Linked DNA regions of Lepisosteus oculatus. The protein of the gene in region 2 purifies or fractionates together with the protein of the main gene of each other region. This does not show direct contact. Links are inferred from orthologs where the notes say so. Each region holds a gene or a part of one and is shown on either strand. Other genes may lie near its edges. The genes, in order: dnajb11, ptpro and sdf2l1.

Region 1 (7,445 bases), on a different chromosome or scaffold from region 2:
CTAATATTTGTTTTTAAAGAGATAGGAATGCGTTTTCATTTTATGTATTTTTTCTACAAATGTACAGCAGCTCTTCTGAAATAACGCTTGCTATAGCTGGGAAAAGAACGCTTTTAAGATTTCCTGATGTAGTTTCATATTAAATTACTATGTAATGAGCAGATTCGCAGATTTCCGGTCCCGGCGTCTCAGACAGCCGCGTGGTTAAAACAGCTGGCTAATTCAACTTTCACCCCTTCACCCCTCAACCAATCACATGCGGCCACACATGCTTGTCCACCAATCAGGACGGGCCTCCGTTTCCAACAACAAAGGAACTCTCAGCGGCTCACGAGAGGCAGCGTGCTCTCTGAGCCCCGAGCTCTTCCACATCGCGGCAGGTGCAATTAATAACGTCATCAAAACACACCTAATTAATGCCGGTACGGAGCTGCCGTGCCCCAGTCAAGCGCGATTCTGGAAAAAGCCATCGACGTTTTGAATTTTACGTTGCTGCAACCGAAACACGTTGCTAAAGACAACTGAGACCGAACGAGAGAAGATTCAGGAAACAGGTCTAACAGAAGGGACGCTATTACATTACACATACGTTTTCTTCGGAAGACAATTTAATTAGGTCTGTCTTGCCAAAAAAGGCCCAGGAGCTAATAAACAACAACACCTGCTTGAGTTTCAGGCTCAGGGCTTGCTGGGTATCATGACCCAGATTTTCCTTTTAATGTTACTGTGGGTTGTACAAAAGCATAGTCCACGACACAAGGTGCTATAATATTACACAACTGTAGCCCAGATGCCAGTAAGGCGATTGTCTTTCTCTCCGGGGTCTATACTGACACACACACCCCCACCCACCCACCCCCGTTCTCTGAGGGAGAGAGACAGCAGGAAGGAAACAGCTGAGCCAATCAGAACAGTCCAGGTGTGACTACAGCCTCTGGATCACTGACAGGCCCCACAAACACCACAGACCTGCTGGGCAATCACCGACCTTTGTCTAACCCGTTGAGCCAGTTGACATTTCCAGTGACAACCTGAACCGAAACACTCTATAGCACAGGAGACAAGGCAGTGAAAGAAGAGATCGAGTGATATAATCGAAATCACTGGACGGGGCCCAGTGCAAGTGTAGGGCAGGAAGGATTCCATCACCCAGCCAGAGAGGAGGGTTACAGTAACGCCGCAGAAGTCCCCAGGGATATCAGAGAGCCACCTTCTCTAAACTCCTTCAAATCCAGACTCAAAGCCACCTTCTTCAGAAACACCTTTCCTTGACTGGTTCTGTTCTTTACCCCCTGATCCTACTGTATTCAGTACCCCCATCTACTGTCTCCTCTCATTGTGTGATCTCATTGTGCAAATCTTGTGTAATTTTTATTTCATTGTTGTTGTTCTGTAAAGCTCTTTGAGAAGCCACCTTTAAAGGAGCTATATAAAATAAAGTTTATTATAAGTTGATATACTAGCATTCATATCATTGACTTCTTTAGTCACAGCACGTACTGCTACAGCAGGGTGTGGTACTGGGCAGCAATCCTGCTGTGAATATTTCAGCAAGAGCAGCACAGACTGATTTCTGCCTGAGTGCAGGTGAGAAGCCAGCTGAGGCTATTAAACACCTGCTCACAGCTGGGGGTGGGAGCTGCACTTGTACTGTGCTGGGATGTCCTTGTTGTTTGTGTACTGTTTGTCGTATTGCTCAAGGAAATGATGCCAACACCTTACAAAGCAACACACGCACTCCTGGTACCGGTGATATCCATGAGCTACCAGGCCCTGGCGTTACAGGGGCAGCCCTGCTGGCCTCCTGCGGCTCACTCGTCGGGAATGTTAGGGACGCTTCTAGGGACGTGTCAAAATCAAACCAGGTCATCCCCTTGTGCCCCAGCAGCAGCCTCCTGCAGGTCCAGCTCACTGGTTTCCACTGCGCTTGGGGGCACCGAGGAGCAGCAGGACTCCGCGCTCCAGTCGGGCCCGGCTCACCCACCTCGTACGCCGCGCCCAGGTCCTGGAACTTGTCCTGCGCCTGGGGGTCGTCCGGGTTCCGGTCCGGGTGCAGCTGCAGGGCCAGTTTCCTGTACGCCTTCTTAATGTCCTTGATGGACGCCGACCGGGACACCCCGAGAATCTTGTAGAAATCCCGCCTGGAACCGAGGAACAGACAGCGCCACGGAGAGGGCTGCTTACACGCAAGCTGGAAACAGACAGCTCCATTTCCCCCCTGTACCCCTCGGGGCTGTTGGACGAGCACTGTGGGGTCCAGTGTGAAGAGACTCTGAGAGCGCGCACAGGAAAGTCTTTATTACAGTCAGAAGGGACACTCCAGGATTCCCACAGTATCCCTCCCAGATGCAGGGGACGGACATGAAACACGCAATGGGGCTGGTGTTCCCTCCAGTCAGCCGAAAGGAAACCGAACCCACGAGCGAATGAACCCCGAACGAGAGGGAACCCCGAGTCGGTTGCATTCATGGAAACGTCTGCGTACAGTTTTGCAACCCACTTAAAATATATATATTTGAAAAAAAAACTGACGAGATAGTTTTAAAGAAACGGGCTGATGCATCCCAGTATGTAACAGGGCACGGACCGGTGTGTTAGGTAAGGAGGTGCGTACATCGGACCCTGCGCCAGCCCTTTCAAAGCGTGTATAGCGACCAGGCAACACCAGTGCAACATACACCAGCTCCCCTACGGGGACACGCCGCCAGCAAGCCTGTTAAAAAGTGCAACAGCCTCAAAACCCGCAATTCACAAGCGGCGGCTTGCCATCGCCGCCCAGCCCGGCGGAAGGGTCCGAGCCGCGGCAGACCAATCACAGCGCAACATGTGTACCAGCCGGTATGAGCGCCGCTGAAAGCGCCTCGGTTGACTCACCCTGCCAGCACAGCCGCCGCGAAATACAGCAGCAGACAGCAGGCGCTGCTCAGACTCAGTACCCTGGAAGCCATATGGATGTTTAGTTTTTTTTTTTATGTAGTTTTTGTATTTGTCCACTTCAGCCCGCTCTCCGGCTCTCTCCCCCTCTGCGCTCCGGCCCTCCTGTCACTCTGCCTCTCTCCCGCAGGCTCGGCAGCGGCGCTTCCGCCCGGAAGGCCCGCCCCCGCGAAGGCCCCGCCCCTCCCCGGCCTGCCTGCAGGGGGCGCGCTGGGCTTGGGCAGCTGAGCACGCCGCCCTCTTGAGAAAGGGCGCCTTACTTTCAAATCAGTTGCTGAGCAGAAGCTATTCGTTTTTGTTTGTGTGTTATGGGGTGGGGGATATAAAAGCTGTCACCGGGTTTAATTTTCTGAAAATACCTGTTACGGTTATAGTCTTTTGGTAAAAAAAAAAAAACACAAGCAAATCTGACTCCCATTTCACAACACTTTAAATCGGTCCGAGTTTTGTGAGCGGAACGCTCTGCCTCAGCTTCTGTGGATAAAATCCCGTACTGAGAGCTTAGAAATAACATTTTAAACATAACGATTTATTTCCCCGCAAGCGTGCTGTTGGAAGACTCGACCTTGCGGTGTGTGTTGTCTGACATTAAAGCAGTCGGTGTCGGAATCAGGCCGGATGGTTAATTAATGCGCTGGGAATTTTTTAGGAAGCAGGACTGGAGCCAGCGCCTCCTGCTCGTGCCCGCGCTCCAGCTGACGACGTGCGCGCTCACGAGGCCGAGGAAGCGGCGGCGCCAAAAGCAAGAGAGAGGCGGCCGGCTGTTTTAAGCAGGACAGAGACAGAAACCCCTTTCGTATTAACCTGTGGGGGCACAGGGGTCGCCAGATAAGTGTACTAAGACTTACAGAGGAGCCCCCAGCCCCCAGCCCTCAGCGGGACGGCGGGGCCGGTCCGCGGAAGGTGAAGCTTGCGTGTCTGTTGTGTTGCGGCGAGGGAGCGCCAGGTATGTCGGTCGGGGAGACGGGGCCCTCGCTGGAGCTGTTGCCATGGGGACGCGGAGGGCTTTCCGCCGGAGCCGGCTGGGTGTTGGCGAAGGCCACAGAGCCGACACCTGGGGCTTTCCTCGGTCGTGCACGTTTTGTTTCCCTCCGTCAAGAATACGGGAAAATAGCCAAATCGTCCACTGCGTACGACGCAAGTTTACACTTGAAACATTGAGTGGCGAGTGTTTTTTTCCCTTTAACGTTCATGTAGTCCAGGTGGCATGGGTTAGAAACGGTCTTTTTGACTCCTTGGTGTTGCAGCGTCTTTCTCTGGTGGTTTATCCGGTGGTTTCTGCCTGCCAGCCTTTCTGGAGAGTCTTGGCCAAGTCATCTTTCTCCCCTCATCTGCGTTTCTCCTACGTGTCTGCAGTTAGACTGCTTGTCATCGGTAGGGGCTACTGTGTGACTCCTGTGTCCTACAGCTATTGCTGTTTCCGTCTCTTCTCACTCCATCGGCACCTTCTCAGCCATGTTAGCATTGGGCAGTGCCAGTCAGACTGGTCTGTATTTGTCCCTGCCTGTCTCTCTCTCCCAGGGTGTCAGTGTGTGTTTTGACCTCTCTGTCCCTGCCTCTCTCTCTCTCCCATGGTGTCAGTGTGTGTGTTTTAACCCGTCTCTCGCAGGGTGATGGAGCAGTGTAGTGTCAGTATGTGTTTTAACCCCTCTGTTCCTGCCTCTCTCTCTCTCTCCCATGGTGTCAGTGTGTGTTTTAACCTGTCTCTCTCAGGGTGACGGAGCAGTGCAGTGTCAGTGTGTGTTTTAACCCCTCTGTCCCTGCCTCTCTCTCCAAGGGTGTCAGTGTGTGTTTTAACCCCTCTGTCCCTGCCTCTCTCTCCCATGGTGTCAGTGTGTGTTTTGACCTGTCTGTCCCTGCCTCTCTCTCCCATGGTGTCAGTGTGTGTTTTAACCCCTCTGTCTCTGCCGCTCTCTCTCAGGGTGACGGAGCAGTGCAGTGTCAGTATGTGTTTTAACCCCTCTGTCCCTGCCTCTCTCTCCCAGGGTGTCAGTGTGTGTTTTAACCCCTCTGTTCCTGCCTCTCTCTCTCTCTCAGGGTGACGGAGCAGTGCAGTGTCAGTGTGTGTTTTAACCCCTCTGTCCCTGCCTCTCTCTCCCAGGGTGTCAGTGTGTGTTTTAACCCCTCTGTTCCTGCCTCTCTCTCTCTCTCAGGGTGACGGAGCAGTGCAGTGTCAGTATGTGTTTTAACCCCTCTGTCCCTGCCTCTCTCTCCCAGGGTGTCAGTGTGTGTTTTGACCTCTCTGTCCCTGCCTCTCTCTCTCCCAGGGTGTCAGTGTGTGTTTTGACCTCTCTGTCCCTGCCTCTCTCTCTCCCAGGGTGTCAGTGTGTGTTTTGACCTCTCTGTCCCTGCCTCTCTCTCTCCCAGGGTGTCAGTGTGTGTTTTGACCTCTCTGTCCCTGCCTCTCTCTCTCCCAGGGTGTCAGTGTGTGTTTTGACCTCTCTGTCCCTGCCTCTCTCTCCCAGTGTGTCAGTGTGTGTTTTGACCTCTCTGTCCCTGCCTCTCTCTCCCAGGGTGTCAGTGTGTGTTTTAACCCCTCTGTCCCTGCCTCTCTCTCTCCCTCAGGGTGATGGAGCAGCGCAGCGTCAGTGTGTGGCCACGCTTGGAGCCCTTCCTCCTGGGCGTGCTGCCAGCTGCCCCCCCCGCCAAGTTCAGCATGCACTACCTCCGCAAGATGGCGGCCTACGTGCGAGCGCGGACGCGGGAGGGCTGCTTCCCGCGGCTGCACTGGCCGCTCTGGCGCCACATCGCCTGCGGGAAGCTGCAGCTGCCCGAAGACACCGCCTGGCTTTACTTCGAGACCTGCGACCTGCTGGCACCGCGCCCCCCGGAGGAGCGGCTGGAGTGGGCGGAGGCCGTGTCGCAGTGCGGCTCGGTGGAGGAGCTGGACAAGCTGCGGTACAAGGTGGGGAGAGGAGCCTGAAGCGCAGGGAGCACGGGGTTAGGCGAGGGGGAGTGGTGAGAGGCGAAAGGCAGTGGTGTCAGGGGGCTTCAAGGATATCTGCCCCCATTCCTTTCTGGGCATGATGAGATGGCAGGGATCAGATGTTTTACGGCGTCTTAACCACCCCTTTCATCTCTTCCGCCCCCCTACTCGTCCCCACTCTCTCTGTGTCCCCCTCCCAGCTCTCCGTGGACACTCTGCAGTTCCTGCTGTTTCTCTACATCCAGCAGCTGAACCGCGTCTCTCTGCGCACGTCCCTGATCGGCGAGGAGTGGCCCAGCCCCCGGTCCCGCTCCCGCTCGCCCTCCCCGGACCGCGACGCCAAAACCGCCGCGCAGAACAAGGTACTCGGCCGCCGCACCCCGGCAAGCGCCGCGGCTCGCAGGCTGCCGGCCTCCTCACAGACTGGTGCTTCGGCAGAGGCCCTAGTAATTGCAGACCAATCGGTCTTACTCGTTTTGCATGTAAGGTTGTGGCAAACACAAATTAGAACTAGACCGTTGGGATCATTTCAATAGCAGGGTGATTCAAAGGGATAACCAGCAGGGATGTAGAAAAGGTTGGCCTTGCTAGCTGACGTGTTAGAACTTGTTTGAACTAGCAAGAGCAGTAGGGCATACAGAACGAGCATGTCATGTGGAGTACTTAGATTTTCAGAAAGCCTTTGATCAAGTACCTTAGTCTAATTTGAAAATCACAGGCAGTTCTCGAACCAGAGACATTGATTTCCTTGAATTTCTTGTAAAAGGCACAGTTCAAGGAGATGTATGTCTCTTCTGTGAGAACTGGTTAATGAGTGCTTAGAGTACAGAAAGAAGTGAAGACTCAAATTGAGGTGTTATAATTAGTGGAGTACCACAGGGCTATGTATTAGGACCACAGGGCTTTCCTTCCTATTTTATATCTAGAACCAATCGGACTCTGATATAGTTAGGAAACTAGGCAATTTTTGAAAATAATACCACAAGGGAGAGTTTAACAAGTACTAGGAGCTGCACATGAAATAAAAAAAAAAGTTAGTTACAATTCAAGAGTTGACAAACACCTGACAGGTGTAGACCAGTGTGGAGTGTGACATGTAAGTAGCAAAAAGTAACTAAAAATAAAGAAGGGGTTCTAAGCTCTCGTCTGTTGGAAATAATGTATGTTGGGGTGCTCTTGAAACCAAGGGGTGAGTGTGGGGGAAAAAAAGTAAACCAACAAGCAGATCAGGTGCAGGTACAGATTAGTATTGCTGATTAAGTGCCATCTGGAACAAAAACCAGCAGAAAACTGGCACTCCAGGACCAGGACTGAGTCCCTGATTTAGACAACGTGGGAAACCAACAAGAAAGGCATGTAAGGATCTAAAGTTAGAAGCACAGCTTTTATATTGAGGGATGTTACGTTCTTATTGTACAGTGCACTAGTAAGACCAAAATGTGTACAGTTCCATTGAGCATGATGGGGAAAAAAGATGTTCTCTTGACTTCACCTGTCTCTCTGTGCTCATCTCCCTGCCGGACTGCAGAACTGGGATGACCAGGCCCACCTGAGCTTCATCCAGACCCACCTGTCAGACCTGCTG
Region 2 (8,038 bases):
GAAAACACTAAATATTTGATTTCTATACCTCATGAACAAAGAGTGGCTATTTGTTCAAATGAATGAAGCTCAGCTTATGATGTGTTATTATACTAGTTGTACAATTGTTCACTTTTTCCTATGATTCACAAAAACATAATGCTTACAAACCACGAAAATACACATACTGTATCTGCACTTTTAAATGAAATGTGGTGAAACTGATGGAAAACCAACCATCAGTTCACAGTTTTCGTAGTCCTAGCACACTTGACGGTCCAGTCCACTTGAAGTTGATGTGAGCTATTGTCTGGTCTCCATCGCCCATAGTACAGCAAATCTGTAAAGCCTTTAAGAACCCTTCTCATTAATTTAGTATTGAAGCAGATTGAAAAGAAAGAATCAGTAAACTGATTGTGCAGCTTTCAGATAATAAAATAATTTTAGCGTCAACTGCTTGATGAAGCATAAAAAAAATCATGTTCTTGTTTAATTATGCTTATTTGGCAAAGGTTAAAACCACAATAATAGCCAGTTAACCTTTTTATTCAAATATTTGTATAGCATTATATTTCACTCTGAAATGGGTAAGTCCCGCATATGTGCTAAGTTTTATCCTAGATTCAATCACTATTATGATATTTCACTACAATGATTAGAAGCAAGGAAGATAAGTGTGGAATATGAGATCCCATTCTGAGCAATGTAGGGAGATGGGTGAGGTGGTGTCTTCAAAGACAGGATGAGTCAGAAGAAACAAGAAAAGCCAACAAGTACTGTACTGTACCTGGAAACATACTGTATATGACCCAAAATTTCATTCAAGCTTTATTTTACCGACACAAACGTAAATACACTGTTGGTTAAAAATTATAAGATCAAATGGAATTCTTACTGCAATACAAACAAGAAAGGAAGAGCCAGCATAAACTTGAAGTACAGTATTCCCTGCAAGAGCACACACATAGGCACAGAAACACAGGGAAAGTTTAGAGATGGCAACTAACCTAATCGGAACCTGTTTGCAAGGTGGAAGGCAATGCAAAAGAAATACTCCACACAGAACACAGGATCTATGAGCCATGAAGTAGCAGCACTCACTACCATACTACCATGGCAAGCACATTTAAGAACACTTAATATTTCTAATAGACAATGATACAAAGTGTACTTTGGTCCCTCTAGTCGAAATCTCCTCTACTTAGTAAGTACAGCTGCACACTATAAAGAGACTACTAGTCTGAGTCCCAAGTGCAAATCCAAACCCATTACACCATTCAGAACTGATACCCCAAAGGTCTGGCCCACTTAGGTAGGCTACCTCTATACTCTTCATGTAACCACCTCCAAGTTTACAGTGCAGCCATGATAGAATCTCTTAATTGCATTACTTGTCATACAGTATATTAATTTAAGAGCTGAAAATCTTTGTTTCTTTGACACACTGAGATTTCTGTGCCGGTAAGTAATCATTATGCTAATTTTTTTTATATTAGTCTTGTTTTCCCCAGGTATCCCCTGAACATTTAGCTTTAAGTTGGTATCAGTTTTTCATTACTAGATAAAATGTAATGAATTCCAGTGTAAAAAACATTAGTGCTTCTAGGAATTTCACAAACCTAATGGAAACAAAACCTTATAACCTTATATCTACATGACACATATAGTAAGTTCACAAACGGAATTTCTAGTATTCCTACTATAGTATGCATTTTTTAATGGTTGAAGGTTATTTTAACAGTACAATGTACTGTATATAATTATATCTTTAAAGAAAGAGTAAGAACATGCATTATAATATTTTCTGTATTGTATTAAATAATGTTCTAGTCAGGAAACTAAAAAAATATTAACTACAGCACAGGTCAGGCTTTCATTAAAAATATTATGTTTAAAACCATCAGGCCTAATTCAATTAACTGATTCAGAAGGATAACAACGTGGTATTAGTACAGACATTATTATTGATATTTTATCCTATAATAATACTTTATACTCGTCATTCATTCATTTTTATTAACATAAACTTAAGTTTCTGTTCAAACAAATTATTTTCATCTCACCCCTTTTTTTCAATACAGACCTGTTAATACATTTTATGTAAGGGGCTACTAGATTTTAATACTACTCAACTCATACAGTACATGTTACAGGTGGAACGATACCGTCATTAAGAAGGCAAGACAGCTCAGAGTTTGCACTTAACTTCATTAAAGAACTCACAAAAGAGCAAATGCTACAACATGCACTTTTTCTTCAAGTTAAACGTGTTAAAACTGTGCCGCTTCAGAATAAAACATGCGTTTTCATCAAAGGCCAAATGATGAGAATGGGTGAAATCACAATGCAGGATAATAGCGAACAGTCTCAACGGAATGACCCCATTTTGCCTGAAGAAGCATTTTGCAGAAACGCGACAACATTTGTCAGACCATGCTTCTCTTTTAACATGGAGCAATACTGCTAAAACAAGATAATATGTTTTAATAATTGGATTAAAGCTTTAGATCCATCAGATACATTAAAATAGCACACAGCTTCAACACAAGTTGTACAAAAATACCAAAAGAAACGTGCAACGGTATAATCATGGCAGTCCCGTCAAGCGCTGCTTGTAGATTTTAAAGGCGAAATAAGCTGGAATTTCCTACCTGGATGCTGAAAATGAGGCATATGATACAAGGCAGCATGAAAATGGAGATCCTGTTAGCCACTTGGCAAAACATTGAAAAGGTAACTATAAATCTAAGTAATGATAAATCGGCTTCTCGTCGAAACAATGGCGAATTTTCTGCAGCATCAGATCGCTGGCATTGCTTCCCTTTCACCTAACCTAAGGCGCACAGTGATGTTCTCTCCCTAAATTTCACCTTTGTTAGAGCGCCGCTTAAAGCTGTTTTCAAAACACCAAAGAAGTTCTGATCTCAGTAGACAGTAAAATCGCCATCAGTTAAGAAGAATACTTTACGTCGGAGATGCAAAGCTACAATCCCTACACGGCTTTATGAGATGAACAGAGAAACCAGCATCTCCCATCACATTCCTGGTGAGACTGACACACGCAGGGGGCACATTCGGACTCTCCTCCCCTCGACGCCCCGCCCAGATCTCTCACCAAATGGACTGAGAAGTGAAGCATATTAAAATAGAATTCACTTTCTCATGCTGAAGGGGGTCCTTGGCAGCACGACGTGTTTCAATTTTACCAAAATGTAGAGGCTTGTTACATTCATGTATTGCATAAATAACATTTTTATATTTGAATCAGAAATCTGAGTGCACTGAGCTCAAACCATAAAAACGATACCGGCCAAGCAGATTTCGATGCCAAGAAACAAGCTGATTTATGAAACTGAAAATACTATGATGACTGCAGTAGCTCTATGAAACAATAAAAGAACAGCAGAAACAGGGTGTCTTATCTTATTCTCTGTTCTCCCGGGATTAAGACTTGATTTCATCGAGTCTTCTGTACCAAGTTAAAACGTTGGTACTGTATGTTCATCCTGAAAACTTCGGTTTATACATTAGTTTGATATACTGTATTTCCTTAATATAATTGTTAAATTTTTAACACCCAATGTACTCCTCCACCTTATTTAATTAATTACTGAAACAGTTACAAGCACTGTTACTTAGCGAGATACATTCACAAAAACTCAAGTACAGTATGTCCAAAACTCAGCTAACGTTCTTGGCCTCATTCTGGTGAACATAAAACCGCTCTTTTGAGACAGCTGGAAATGTTCACTTAGTATAGACACTGCTGCTGACTTTTAATGCCATGAAGCCCCCCTCCAATTTCTTACCTGACAAATCATGACCCTCAGCCACACTCTATGGTCCTCAGACACTAGTTTATTGTGTTCTCAACAGAACGATGGGTGAGAGAGCGTTCTCCTATAAACGCACATGTAGGTTACGAAGTACTCTTCCCTGAGATCAGGGATTTGAGTCTCTTAAATTCTGCTTCAGAACCTGCCTGCTTAAACCAGCACTCCTACAGAGTTTTGTACAGTATGTTGTACAGTATACAACTCCTTATACAGTATGAGTAATAATAGAATCTAGAATCTTATAAAATGATAAAATCTTACATGGTTCTTTTGTTTAGATTTTTCATTTCCATCTTTTTATTACACAGTTGTTTGATTTTGTGTATGAAAGGAAATACTGTACATTCATTCAATGTATTATTATGATAAATTGGAAAAATATATATTATTACTGTATAAAGACCCTTCCCAAGGTAAGAAACACTCTTTTTTAGAAATGTTATTGACTAAAGAATCTTTTTTTATTTGAGGGGCACCATGTAGATACAGTATACTGTACATTTTATTTTTGATAATATGAAATAATACAGTACATAGTGTTGAAGGGAAACATAAGTGAATACCAGTATATTATTAACTAGTACAGCAGTGATAGATTATCAGGTGGTAGATTTCTGCTGTAGCTGGGAAAAAAGGCTCTGATTTTTGTTAAGATTACGTTTCAGATCCTCTTGCTGATAAAAACTTTCAACCAAGCTGGGAAATACAGACCCACTCCCGTGTGCAAGGTTAGGAGTGTAAGGTTATCGGGGAGGTCAAGGTTTTCGTTTTAAATGGGTAAAATACTAACATTTTCTATCACATTTCTCAAACATAGTCAGACAAAAGGCAAAATAGCAAATGTCAGCACTACATTATGGATTTAGTAGTGTGCAGAACCAAAATTGGCTTATTAACAGCATCAGTGCTGGAAGGAAGGTTTTTTAAAATGGTGACAGGAATATTGTACCACTCCTCTATCTGAGGAGTGCAGAGAATCTTAGCTATTTTTCAGTTCCAGTTCATTCCAAAGCTGTTGTATGTGAATAAGATGCATTTAAGGAAGTCATTTAATATTTCTCATGAACTGTTTTTTTTTTCTTTCAACCACTGTGTTAACTACAGTACTAGTTGAAATACTCCAGCCAAACTCACACTTTTTACTTTGAATTGTACTGCATGTAATGTACTGTATATAATTAAAGGTGATCAGTTCAAGACAGATTCATGCCAATATTGCAATGGCCCAAGGAATTGTAGCTTTTTCTTTAAATCTTTGTTTAAAACTTGTTATTGCTTAACTTTTGAAAGCACCACAATGTCATTATTTGTTATATTGTTTTTGCTAGAATTATTTGTTTATTAAACATTTGAGGTACCATGTAAAATATGAACACAAGGAAAGTTTCAAACAGGAAATGGTTTAAATCAGAGTTAGTTATCTAGTGAACTTGAACTTGAACTTTATTGCCATATGTAACCGGTACATGTATGGGTACAATGGAATTCTTACTTACAGAAAGTCTCTCGACTGGTAAAACAAGTGTAAAAACACAAAGTGCAGACAGTGCATCAAGACAATATACAAACAAACAGTAGACAATGTACAAGTAAACAAGTAAGCAATATGAATGTAAACAATGCAGACGTGTAAACAATGACTGGAGATGTGCAATAAATAAGAACTCATAATGAGGTAGATGGTATAGATGTGGTCCAAGGGGCATGTAGGGCCTAGTGGCCCTAGGATCTTGAACAGCCATTTCTTGAAGGATCCCAGGTATATTAATTGATTTCAACAACAAAGTTCAGTCCAGTCATCCACAATGGTACTGTATGTCAAGGGGCTTCTCCTATTTCCGGTCCTGAATGCACTTTCTTTACCTTTCCAGTTGTGTTTTTGAATACATGCTCTAGTTGCTAAGAAGGAAGAAGTCAATTGGGTTGACTTTGTTAGTATTTCTCAGGATTTTAACTACTAAAGTGATGTTCTCACAGGGGTTGTGATATTGCAGTAGAGGGAACTGATTAGAGGCTCGTGTTCTCACTATGCCTCCCATTTCAGACAACCATGGGGGTGAATCATACAGTACATGTACAGTATGTTCAAAGGGATTAGGGATTGGGACTATAGTCAGATAGTAACTAACTGAGAGACAAGCAGTAATGCTCTGTATATATATATCTTTCAATTCTTGCTCTCTGTAGAAATCTCCAACTTTTGTTTTTCTTAAAAGTCAGTTTCCACAGACAAACAGATTGAGTGCAAGTTCTCTTGTGACTTGATTAGTTCTCGTGTGTGTGGACTTTCCCTCAAGCACAAAATGCAACACCTGAAGACATAATGGCTTCATTTATTCAATTGTCAAAATTATAATTTCACTTCCGCAAGAATATCCCAAATCATGGATATTGATACAGTAACTTATTCCCATAACTGCAATTCCAAGGCACAAGGGAAATTCAAAAACTAACTTGATATTTTTTTGGGCAACTACAGTAGATCTTGTCTCACTTAACACAGATACAACCTCATTTTACATGTCTCTTTATCCCACATTTGTATTCAAGTTTTACTGGCAATACTTAAAAATTCTGTTTTGAAATCAGATTTCACAGGTCTTTCAGTAGAACATGAAATTCTGTTATTCCTGTAGTGACTGTGCTAGTTTAAGAGTGGTAGTACATTAGACCATTCCCTGGTAGTGAATTTTTAGTCAGAAAACCCAAGGCTTTAAGAAAGGCCTTATGAGTAGAATAAGTATTGTAATTGTCATTTGCATTTTCTTTGAGTTTCTCTTATTTTCATTTTCACGGACATCATTTTATTTGACCTCATTTGGTATGTCCTGCTCTTGAAGACATACAAGCTGTCAAATTCAAAGTCATTTAAAAAAATAGCAAGTTTAATTTGTACTGTCAAGAAAGATAGGAAGAATCATACCATGGGATCCAGCTATGTTACAGCTTAATAAGGACTCACAACTTCAACTAAAGAGTGTCAATGGAAAATCTGGCTTGCTGGTTTGACTGCAGCACAAAAACCTATAGCACAGTACTGACTCCCTCCTCACAGCCTACTGTTACAGCAGTGGTTGTCATACTTAGGCACATAGTGATGCCGGAACTTTCTTCCATCTGAGTAAATAAGGCTAAAACTGCTGCCTCTTAAGAAAAACAAGATATGGGTATACAAATGTACAGTATACAGTATACTGGGAAGGCTCCACGGCCGAAACGTTGTGTTCTCTTTCTTCTTTTCAGCATGGAATAAACCTATTACTTGTTCCTTTGCAGCCTACGCATGCTGACGCAGCTACCCACCTGAACTACTACAGTATACAGTATGTGTCCTTGACCGTGTGCTAAGACAATAATAAAAATGAACAATTTACGTTTATTGCTGGAACCTGCTAAAGGCATTACAAGAAAAACATCTGGAATTATGAGAAAATAGCAATGAGTCAATATCTTTCTCTACTTTTTTCAATGCTTGCATATGCAAAAGAGGTAGTCCAGAGTTGTAAAAAACTGAAGGGTTTTTCATCCAAATCCACACATTTCTAGAAGGCTTCACAATCAAAACTTTTTTGCTTTGAGGAATGCAATTTGAGATATGGAATCCCAATAATTGACATAGAATTTGCAACAGATAGTTTAACAATATGTTCAATAACACAGCACAAAACACACAAATTCTTTTTCTCTGCTGTTGCAGATTTGCTAAAATACATATCTATTAATCATGTCTGAAGGTGGTGCTAAAATTTCTTTTTGACAGAAACATCATTCTGTTTCTGAAATTTAATTCTTGTATGTATATGTTTATAAGCTAAGTTCTTGAACTTGCAAACAGAATCAAGTCCACCACAAATTGACAAATCTCTTGTTTTGCCATTCTTTGTGTAGTGATGTGATTGTTTAATTTACTGGAAGAATTAGAAATTGGAACTGTAGATTGCAAGAGTGCTTTATGGCTACTAAGAATCAATCAGAAAGCTAGTTGCCACACAGAGATGTGCAATATACAGTACCAATAATTAATATAATACTAATACATGCATAACAAACCAACACGAGTAATAGTAAATATGTGAATCAATCACCATAATATGTGTTATGGTCTACCTTGCAAATTAAACTTGTCTCATAAAGAACTAAACTTCATCAAACACGTTTAATGAATAATACACAATACATGTGACACTTGAGATTATAATGTCAACATGGAAATTTTACTCATC
Region 3 (7,771 bases), on a different chromosome or scaffold from region 2:
GATGGCTTATTTAAATTCTGGGAAACATCACTCACATCTGCTATGGCTATATCAAATGATTTAAGCAGTTTTTGCTCAGATTGATTATCTTTCAGTTTTTAAAGCTAGACTACTGCAGATCATGAATATGTACAGTTCAACTCCCTACGGCAGTACTGTTTCAGACTCCGCACTTCTGACTAGGTATAGGGAAATGTTCTCTGAGAACAATCCAGTCTTTTTAAAATGACTTATATCAGAGTCGTGCTACTCATAATTATACAGAAGCACATGTAAATCAGCATTTCCCAGAATCCAAGCCAAGAATCCAGCAAAATTCCTCTGTCAGAAGGACTTTTTACATTACAGCTCAAATATCCATTCAATTTTAATGGCTGCTTTTAGCTAGAACTTCCCCCCTGCGTCAGGAGTCTCGGGACACAGAATACTCTAGAGTGAACATCTGTAAAGCACATCTGCCCGCTGTGAGGACGCTCCAGCACAGGATGAGGCTGACAAGGTGACAGCAGTTCAGGTAGGGAGCTGCGTCAGCATGCCTAGGCTGCGGAGGAACAGGTGAAGGTTTATTCCAAGCTCAAAGGTAAAGAGACCAAACGTTTCGGCTGTGGAGCCTTTTCCAGGGGTCTCAAGGTGCCTGGAAGAACGCTCTGCAGCCGAAACGCTGCGTCTCCCCTCTTCCTTTAACGCGCAGTAAACCGGTACCCGTTCCCCGACCAGGCAGTCCCGGGCGCGAGGCCGTACCTGGTTTGCGGACAGCGGCGAGACGAAGTGATGCGTGTGGAGGTTGCGGCCCGTGTTCATGTGAGTGAGGCGGATGGGCTGGCCACACTTGACGGGCGCCCCTCGCTGGCAGGGGGCGTTGGGCTTGCCCCGGATGCGCCAGTAGCTGTTGGCGTCGTCCGAGTTTTCAACTCCAGTCACCGACTGCTGACCGCTACCTGCCGGAAACACACCGCCAGCGTCACGTCGCAGCTCAGGAGGTTACGATGGTGGGGTCCAGGCTTGGGAGCACAGAGCAACAGGGAGCAGAAACTTGACTCTTCTTCCACTCTCTTTTAAGAGCATACGGGCTACGAGAGAGAACGCCATTCGGCCCGTCTACAGCTCACTTGGAAGTGAGAAGCCAATTAATAATAATAATAATAATAATAATAATAATAATAATAATAATAATAATAATTGCTTACACTTATATAGCGCTTTTCTGGACACTCCCCTCAAAGCGCTTTACAGGTAATGGGGTCTCCCCTCCACCACCACCAGTGTGCAGCCCCACCTGGATGATGGGACGGCAGCCATAGTGCGCCAGAACGCTCCCCACACACCAGCTCTCAGTGGGGAGGAGAGCAGAGTGATGAAGCCAATTCATAGAGGGGGATTATTAGGAGGCCATGATTGGCAAGTGCCAATGGGAAATTTGACCAGGACCCCGGGGTTATACCCCTACTCTTTTCGAGAACCGCCCTGGGATTTTTAATGACCACAGAGAGTCAGGACCTCGGTTTTACGTCTCATCCGAAGGACGGCGCCTGTTTACAGTATAGTGTCCCCGTCACTATACTGGGGCATGAGGACCCACACAGACCGCAGGGTGAGCGCCCCCTGCTGGCCCCACTAACACATCTTCCAGCAGCAACCTTAGTTTTTCCCAGGAGGCTCCCATCCAGGTACTGACCAGGCTCACACCTGCTGAGCTTCAGTGGGCTGCCAGCTGTGAGTTGCAGGGTGATATGGCTGCTGGCCAATTCATCTGAAGCTGTTTCTTGTTTCAGATAAGTGCTAAAACTTTTTTGGGAGCAAAACAGAGAATACAGAAAGCTCACACATTGCAAAAAGCTTTCAGAAAAAAAAGTAACTGCACTGTATAGAAAGAGAGAGAGCAAGGATCTAAAACATAACATAACTCAAATAAAATCTCTAGAATATAGAAATGAACAAAAAAAATCTCCTTTCTCTGCGTCCTTATACTTATTGCTTGGTCTCTTAGTTAACTTGTCTTATTCTTACCCTTTACCATTTGTGACACAGTGTAAATAAAAAAAAAATCTGTTTCAGTCATCAGCACACGCGACCCACCAGATGGGGATGCGAGTGAGGGCGAGGAACAATATTGCGTTTGGCCGCAGACCAGCACAGTCCTGGTCGCGGACTCCACCAGGGCTCCGCTGACACCTGACCCTCATTTACTTAACAGCTCGCTCTCGTTTTCCCTCTTGGGAAGCTGACAGCCTGTCCGATGTGTGCGAACACTCGCCGCATAGGGGAATAAACTAAACCCGTTTCAGAGCGCAGCCGTCCACTTACCGGAAATGACACCTAACAGGTAGCTGGTACACAGGTGCACAGCAACATACATTAATCGGGCGGCTTCTAATTCCCAGAAGAGATTTGCTTGCTATGAAACTATCCGTTATAGAGGTTTTACACGTTCAAACTACTTGACAGTCACAGGAACAATCTATCAAAAGAATGCTACCTACCACAGGCGGTACTAACAGAACCTGGAATGGTTACTATGACAGATTTGTGTTGTTAAGCGTTAGGTGAAGAAACAAGTGAATGCACAGATATAGAAATCCTTGCCTTAATACACGTTAGAGGTGAATTTCACTCAAAAATTGACATTCAGGAACACAAAAGCATTTGGACAGAGCAAACGCAGACTTGCTTCAAAACCGAAAAGGGTTCGCAAACACAGAGCATGGAAACAGTAACTCTACCCACACAAGCAGTCTTACCTGAACCGTATTTGACATCGTGGGAATGCAATCTCACGTTGTGTCTTGTGTTAAGTAATTTTACCAGGGACCCGCAGGTAACGTAACTGAACTCCGACTCACGACCCTCGCATTGCAACAAGATGTAAAGCAGCAGAAAGAGCTTCATAAAGATGTGATCTCGGAAATCCCGGAATAACCTCATCGTTCGAAGTACAAGCGGAATTAATTTCTTTTATTTCTACAAAAGGGACAGGATGTAGAAAAGGCACCAACACGCTTTCAAACCGGCAGACTTCAGCCAATCAGCGCTTGACAAGTCGTGGTGTACGGAAGTCGTGGCTCCCACATGCTGTTTTTCCATTGGTCACTGTGGATCTGGGGGCGGAAATTTTAAACAGATTCTCTTATTCTGATTGGCTCTCCTTTGTTCCTGGTCGCAAGAGCCAATATCGTTCCGAACGTAAGTACATCTGCAGGAATTTAATTGGCTCTTTAGAAAACTTGGCTGCTCGGCTTCACCCAATGAGCTGCCAGAGACTCTGTGCACCAGCTTGGCAGGTCTACCACTTGTAAAGTAATATGTAATTGCGCTCCGCAACAAAAGTTCACTATTTGTAAATTTGAAATGTAGACAGGAATTTCGGGAAGACTATGGAATTGCAGTGCATGAAATTAAACAAGTTTTTTCTTCTTTTACTCGGTCTAAAATTATTTTCTAAAAATCCTAGGAAGAGCGGAAAGATCTTTCACAAATATTAAATATACAACACAGAAAAGCGATTTTTCCGAATTCTATGCATACACTTTTATGAATTGGTCTCGATTACATCACTGTTTTAACTAATCAGGATTAAGGAGACTGTCGGCCACGAGTTAAAGACTTGTATGAAGGTCTATATGGCTTGGATTGGGTGGACTGGAAATCACTGAAACGTACGAAATAGTATAAAGAACAGGAGGCCTTTCAGCCGATTTAATTTGTTCAATTTCTAGTAGACCATTTCACCTGAGGGTTTTTTTCTGGCAGTTTCTCAAACGAATGAAATGTTATCAATAACAGGACTGTGAAGCTTGTTCCAGACTCCCACAGCTCTGTGTGTACAGATATAAAATTAACTTCCTCTTAGTTTCCATTTGTGTTCGGTGATTTGTGTCTTACTGTTAGTTCTGAAGAAGTCCACGAGACTGGAACCATTTCTCCTAGTATTCCTCCCTGTTTAACACTAAAAAGATGACGTTCTTTTAGCTTGACGGGAAGACAGGAGTTCTTGAAGCCCCTGTATGTATCTGATTGCTGCTCTCTTGCCTGATTCAAGAGAAGCAATATATGTTAATGCTTTGGTGACCTAAATTAAAATGTAGAATATTCTAAATGACTTAAATTCCTACTAGTGCACTGTACAATTCTAAAACGAGTACCCCTATTTTAAGTTTGAACGACTAGCTATGTGTCCTAACATTTATTTATGTCATTGTCTAGGGGATGAAAATGATGAGTTAAAATAGATATCTAATGCTTTTTCATAGATAGCCTTTTAAGCTCAGTGTTCCCAAGTTTATGGTCGAGCTACAACACTCTTATTTACACACGCGTGTAACTCTGCACTTTACTGCAAGAAAATGTTTCTGCATTTCTGCATGTGCCTTTGCATTGTGGTCGTGAGTTCTGGGTGTCTTGAATTATACCTAAATCTTTGTGCCGGTCCCTTGCGTTTGGCATCAGGTTTGAACTCGACTAAGTTTGCAAAGGGATACAGTCGAGCTAATCCCACACTGTGGAAAATAAAATAGAAAAAAAAGAAATGTGTTTTAGCAGCAGAGCCTCTTCAGGCGTCTGGGGAGAGAGGGAGAGGGCAGCAACTGGTTAATTGACTAGGATCGGAAGCAAATAAAAGCTTTCGTTTTAAAACAAAACATTGATCTCTCCATACAGGGTATCAATAATTCAGGGATCTTTGCCATTTTCTACATGGTACAAGAGAACGTGATCACCTCTTTGTTTTTTTATTGTGGCTGAAGGGCTGCCGAAACATGGAATAGTCTGGCTGGACAGCGGCCCAAACACTCCTCATCCCTCTGTTTGTGGGAAAGGTGCGCCGTCTGTGGGAGAGATGGGCCTCTCCGCTGTTTCCTTCTCAGCAGGGAGCTGGTGGGAAGAAGAGATGGCCTCTTGCGCTGCCATGGCACTGTCGAGCCCAGGGAGCGTCGCCTCTGGTTCAGCTTGGACAGGGGTCTCGCAGGCCCCGGCGGCAGCAGGGTGCGGGGGCGCCGGGCCCTCAGTCAGGAGGCCCTGGGACCCGAGCTCTGCCTTCCCACCGAGGGTCTTAACTTCCTGCCTGCTCCTTTCAGATGGGGTCAAAAGTATGCCCAGTTTGTGAGACAGCTCCACTCCTTTCTTGGTCCAGTCATTCATGTTCCAATAGGCCTCCTCCAGAATCCGTCTGAGGCTCACCCTGGGGTCATCGCTGGGCTGCTCGGCGGCTCCCCCGCCAGTCTGTGCAAAGAACACAGACCTGTGACTCTGGCCGGCTTGTGTGATCTCCCGCAGGAACGCACGTTGTAGTGTTGACGCCAGAGAACAGGTCTGTCGGAGACCACTGTTATTAGCAATTTAAAAAATATACGTGGGTGAGGTTGTTTTTTTTTCCTACCTTCTTCCATGCGGCGGTATTTTCCGAGATTTCTGCTGCTTTATTTTGTCTTCCTTTGCCTGCCTTCGGGGGAGCGGTTTTGGGGGCGGGTTTCCTGGTTTCTCGCGCGGGGTGCGCCGTGTTTTTCTCACAGCAAGGACACGCCGCCCCTCCCGGAGCGACGTCCTGGGCGTGTGTCGCGGGAGGTCGCTCGGATCTTTCTTTCGGGGTGCGCGTCTTTGTTTTTTTTATCTGAGCCGGCGTCGGCTCCGGGTCGGGGGCAGCTGTCGACACGCTTTCCAGGCCCTTCACCAGCCGGCACAGACGGATCTCCCTGTCCAGCATGTCAGCCACTTCTCCGGACTCGACCTCGTGGTAGCGGTCGCTCCCCCGGTCCGTTTTAAAGACCGGATGCCCATCCGAGTTTGTGGCTTCCACCAGTTTATGAAACAGCAAAGAAACAACTTTTTCCAAAGCGTCCAGAACCCCACGTTGTTCGATGAACCCCTTGACCTCGGCGTGGGGGTGACCAAGCACGGGGGCGGCCATCTCTGAGCGGGACTGGTCACCCTGGATGTTCGGAGACCACGACGGTCTCCTGTAGAGGGTTTTGTCCGCCATCAGACGCTGGCCTTCTTCCACCACGAGGCGTCTGATGAATTTCTCTGCGTCTTCAGAGGCGTTGCGCGCCGAGCACGTCGCGTCTGGTTTTGAATCGGGCGAGGTCTCCTCGCTCTGGTGCCACGGTTCCATTTTTAGCGGGTTCGAGGGCAAAACCCACCGCTACCGCGGATCCAACCCAACCGATGAGCGGCCTTCCTTCAGCCCCATTCAAGACCAGCGCCCTGCCACCATGGACGCCGAACCTCTTGCAATGTGGACATTCTGCCTTCCCCGACACTAGACCTGCGCGGTTGGTCGCCGAATAGAACTCCACGCATTACAAAAACAGATCCATTGTCGCGTCATTGTCGGAAGCGATTGAGATATTCTATCGACATTCTATCAGCTGCTGCTAGGGAGCCGGGCATTTGCAGAACAGCCCCCGCAGGCGTGTTCTTTGGTAGTGCCCGTGCCAGACCGTTCAGGACGTCGCTTGTTAGGTTAGATCGGGGTGGGGGCGGCATCCTGTTCAAGCCTCTCGCTGGAAGACTCAAGCGCGTCCACGAGGGGCACGCTGAAGCCTTCGCCGTGCACACGCACACCGGCCGGGGTCCGTCCAGAGACTCTGATTAACCTGGACACCCGGCTCTTTGGACTGCAAGCGCGGACCGGGACACTCAAGAGAACATGTGAACCAGCAGCGCTAATCTCCACCCCGCCGGTTCAGTAGGTATTTATGAGAATTTAGCGAAAAATACCACGCGTTTTTTTTCTAACCTATTAATCCCGACATTGGCTATCCAGTATTGAAAAGTCTGGATGCAGTGTCCCTTTAGTTCTCAGTAAAATGAGGGAATGTTACATGAAATGTAGTATGAAGGCGTCAGTGTGTGTATTTGGAGAACAATTTACTCAGTTATAGACTGTTTCTCCTCAGTACATCAGTTTGATGATGTTGTACACGCCAGTCTGTCTTAATATCGCAACTCCTGAATCATTCCCTCGGGGAGTCAGAAAAACCGCGTCGTTATGTACGCGCACGTCGGGATGGAAAAGAACTCCAGGCAGCGCGTTTGACGTGTAAGCAGGCGCGTCGCACCTGTGTTTGACCTGAACTAATGACACGTTTCTCTAGTTTCTCTGCCGCATACGGAGCACGAAGACAACAGATGACACACTGACACATAGAGTATAGCTGAAGACGCCCCCAGCCCCGAATTTCTCATCTGGCGCGAGTTGGTAAGACTTGGTTTTCACCTCCAGTTCGATTTCAAAAGTTTTCCGAGGTCAACAAACTGTCTCGAAAAAAAAAACATTTTACATTTTAAATTTTACTTCTCTGAGTGAATTTCGGCTATAAACCTAATATAAAGTCTTAAACTAAAAAAAAAAACCTAAAATATTTAACATATTAACAGTACTGTAACAATGACACCTGTTCATATTTATTTATTTTTTGAGCACTGATATAACAAGTTCATCAGGAGTTACTTCCCGGTACAGTTTTCAGATTAGGAGTGAGAACGCAAAACGTCTTGTAATGAAACGGCTCTTTGTTGCAAAGGCACAGAATGCCTTATACCAATTCAGAACAGCATGGACATTATTTTCGAGGTGATCTGATCTGGCTACGCGATCATTTCTATGGTGTACTACAACACCTACCCAGAGCAATATTGGCACGAAAACTACACTTCCAAAACAAAATCCGTGACAAAGATATTCCCATAGCTCACACTAGAGGGCGCGGTAATCCGGAAAAGCAACCTCGATATTTACAGGAGCTTGTAATCCGTCTTCCGAATGGTTATCCGGTGC

What was found.
Region 1: the proteins of ptpro (region 2) and dnajb11 purify together in Homo sapiens (affinity purification with mass spectrometry; 3 studies listed by BioGRID and IntAct, with this or other methods). This does not show direct contact. The link is inferred for Lepisosteus oculatus from reciprocal best matches to the Homo sapiens genes PTPRO and DNAJB11.
Region 3: the proteins of ptpro (region 2) and sdf2l1 purify together in Homo sapiens (affinity purification with mass spectrometry; 3 studies listed by BioGRID and IntAct, with this or other methods). This does not show direct contact. The link is inferred for Lepisosteus oculatus from reciprocal best matches to the Homo sapiens genes PTPRO and SDF2L1.

The regions. Positions count from the first base shown.
Region 1 is NC_090707.1:7,356,131-7,363,575, forward strand, and holds the start of dnajb11 (dnaJ homolog subfamily B member 11), read right to left. Parts: upstream 3,093-7,445; 5' UTR 2,949-3,092; coding exon 2,875-2,948; intron 2,142-2,874; coding exon 1,985-2,141; intron 1-1,984. Other genes in the region: tbccd1 (TBCC domain-containing protein 1), read left to right, coding at 5,504-5,839, 6,061-6,222, 7,389-7,445. UniProt on the Homo sapiens protein: As a co-chaperone for HSPA5 it is required for proper folding, trafficking or degradation of proteins.
Region 2 is NC_090702.1:27,118,562-27,126,599, forward strand, and holds the start of ptpro (receptor-type tyrosine-protein phosphatase O), read right to left. Parts: upstream 3,020-8,038; 5' UTR 2,706-3,019; coding exon 2,631-2,705; intron 1-2,630.
Region 3 is NC_090717.1:2,067,620-2,075,390, forward strand, and holds the start of sdf2l1 (stromal cell-derived factor 2-like protein 1), read right to left. Parts: upstream 3,028-7,771; 5' UTR 2,923-3,027; coding exon 2,739-2,922; intron 939-2,738; coding exon 742-938; intron 1-741. Other genes in the region: uncharacterized protein, read right to left, coding at 4,789-5,214, 5,372-6,103.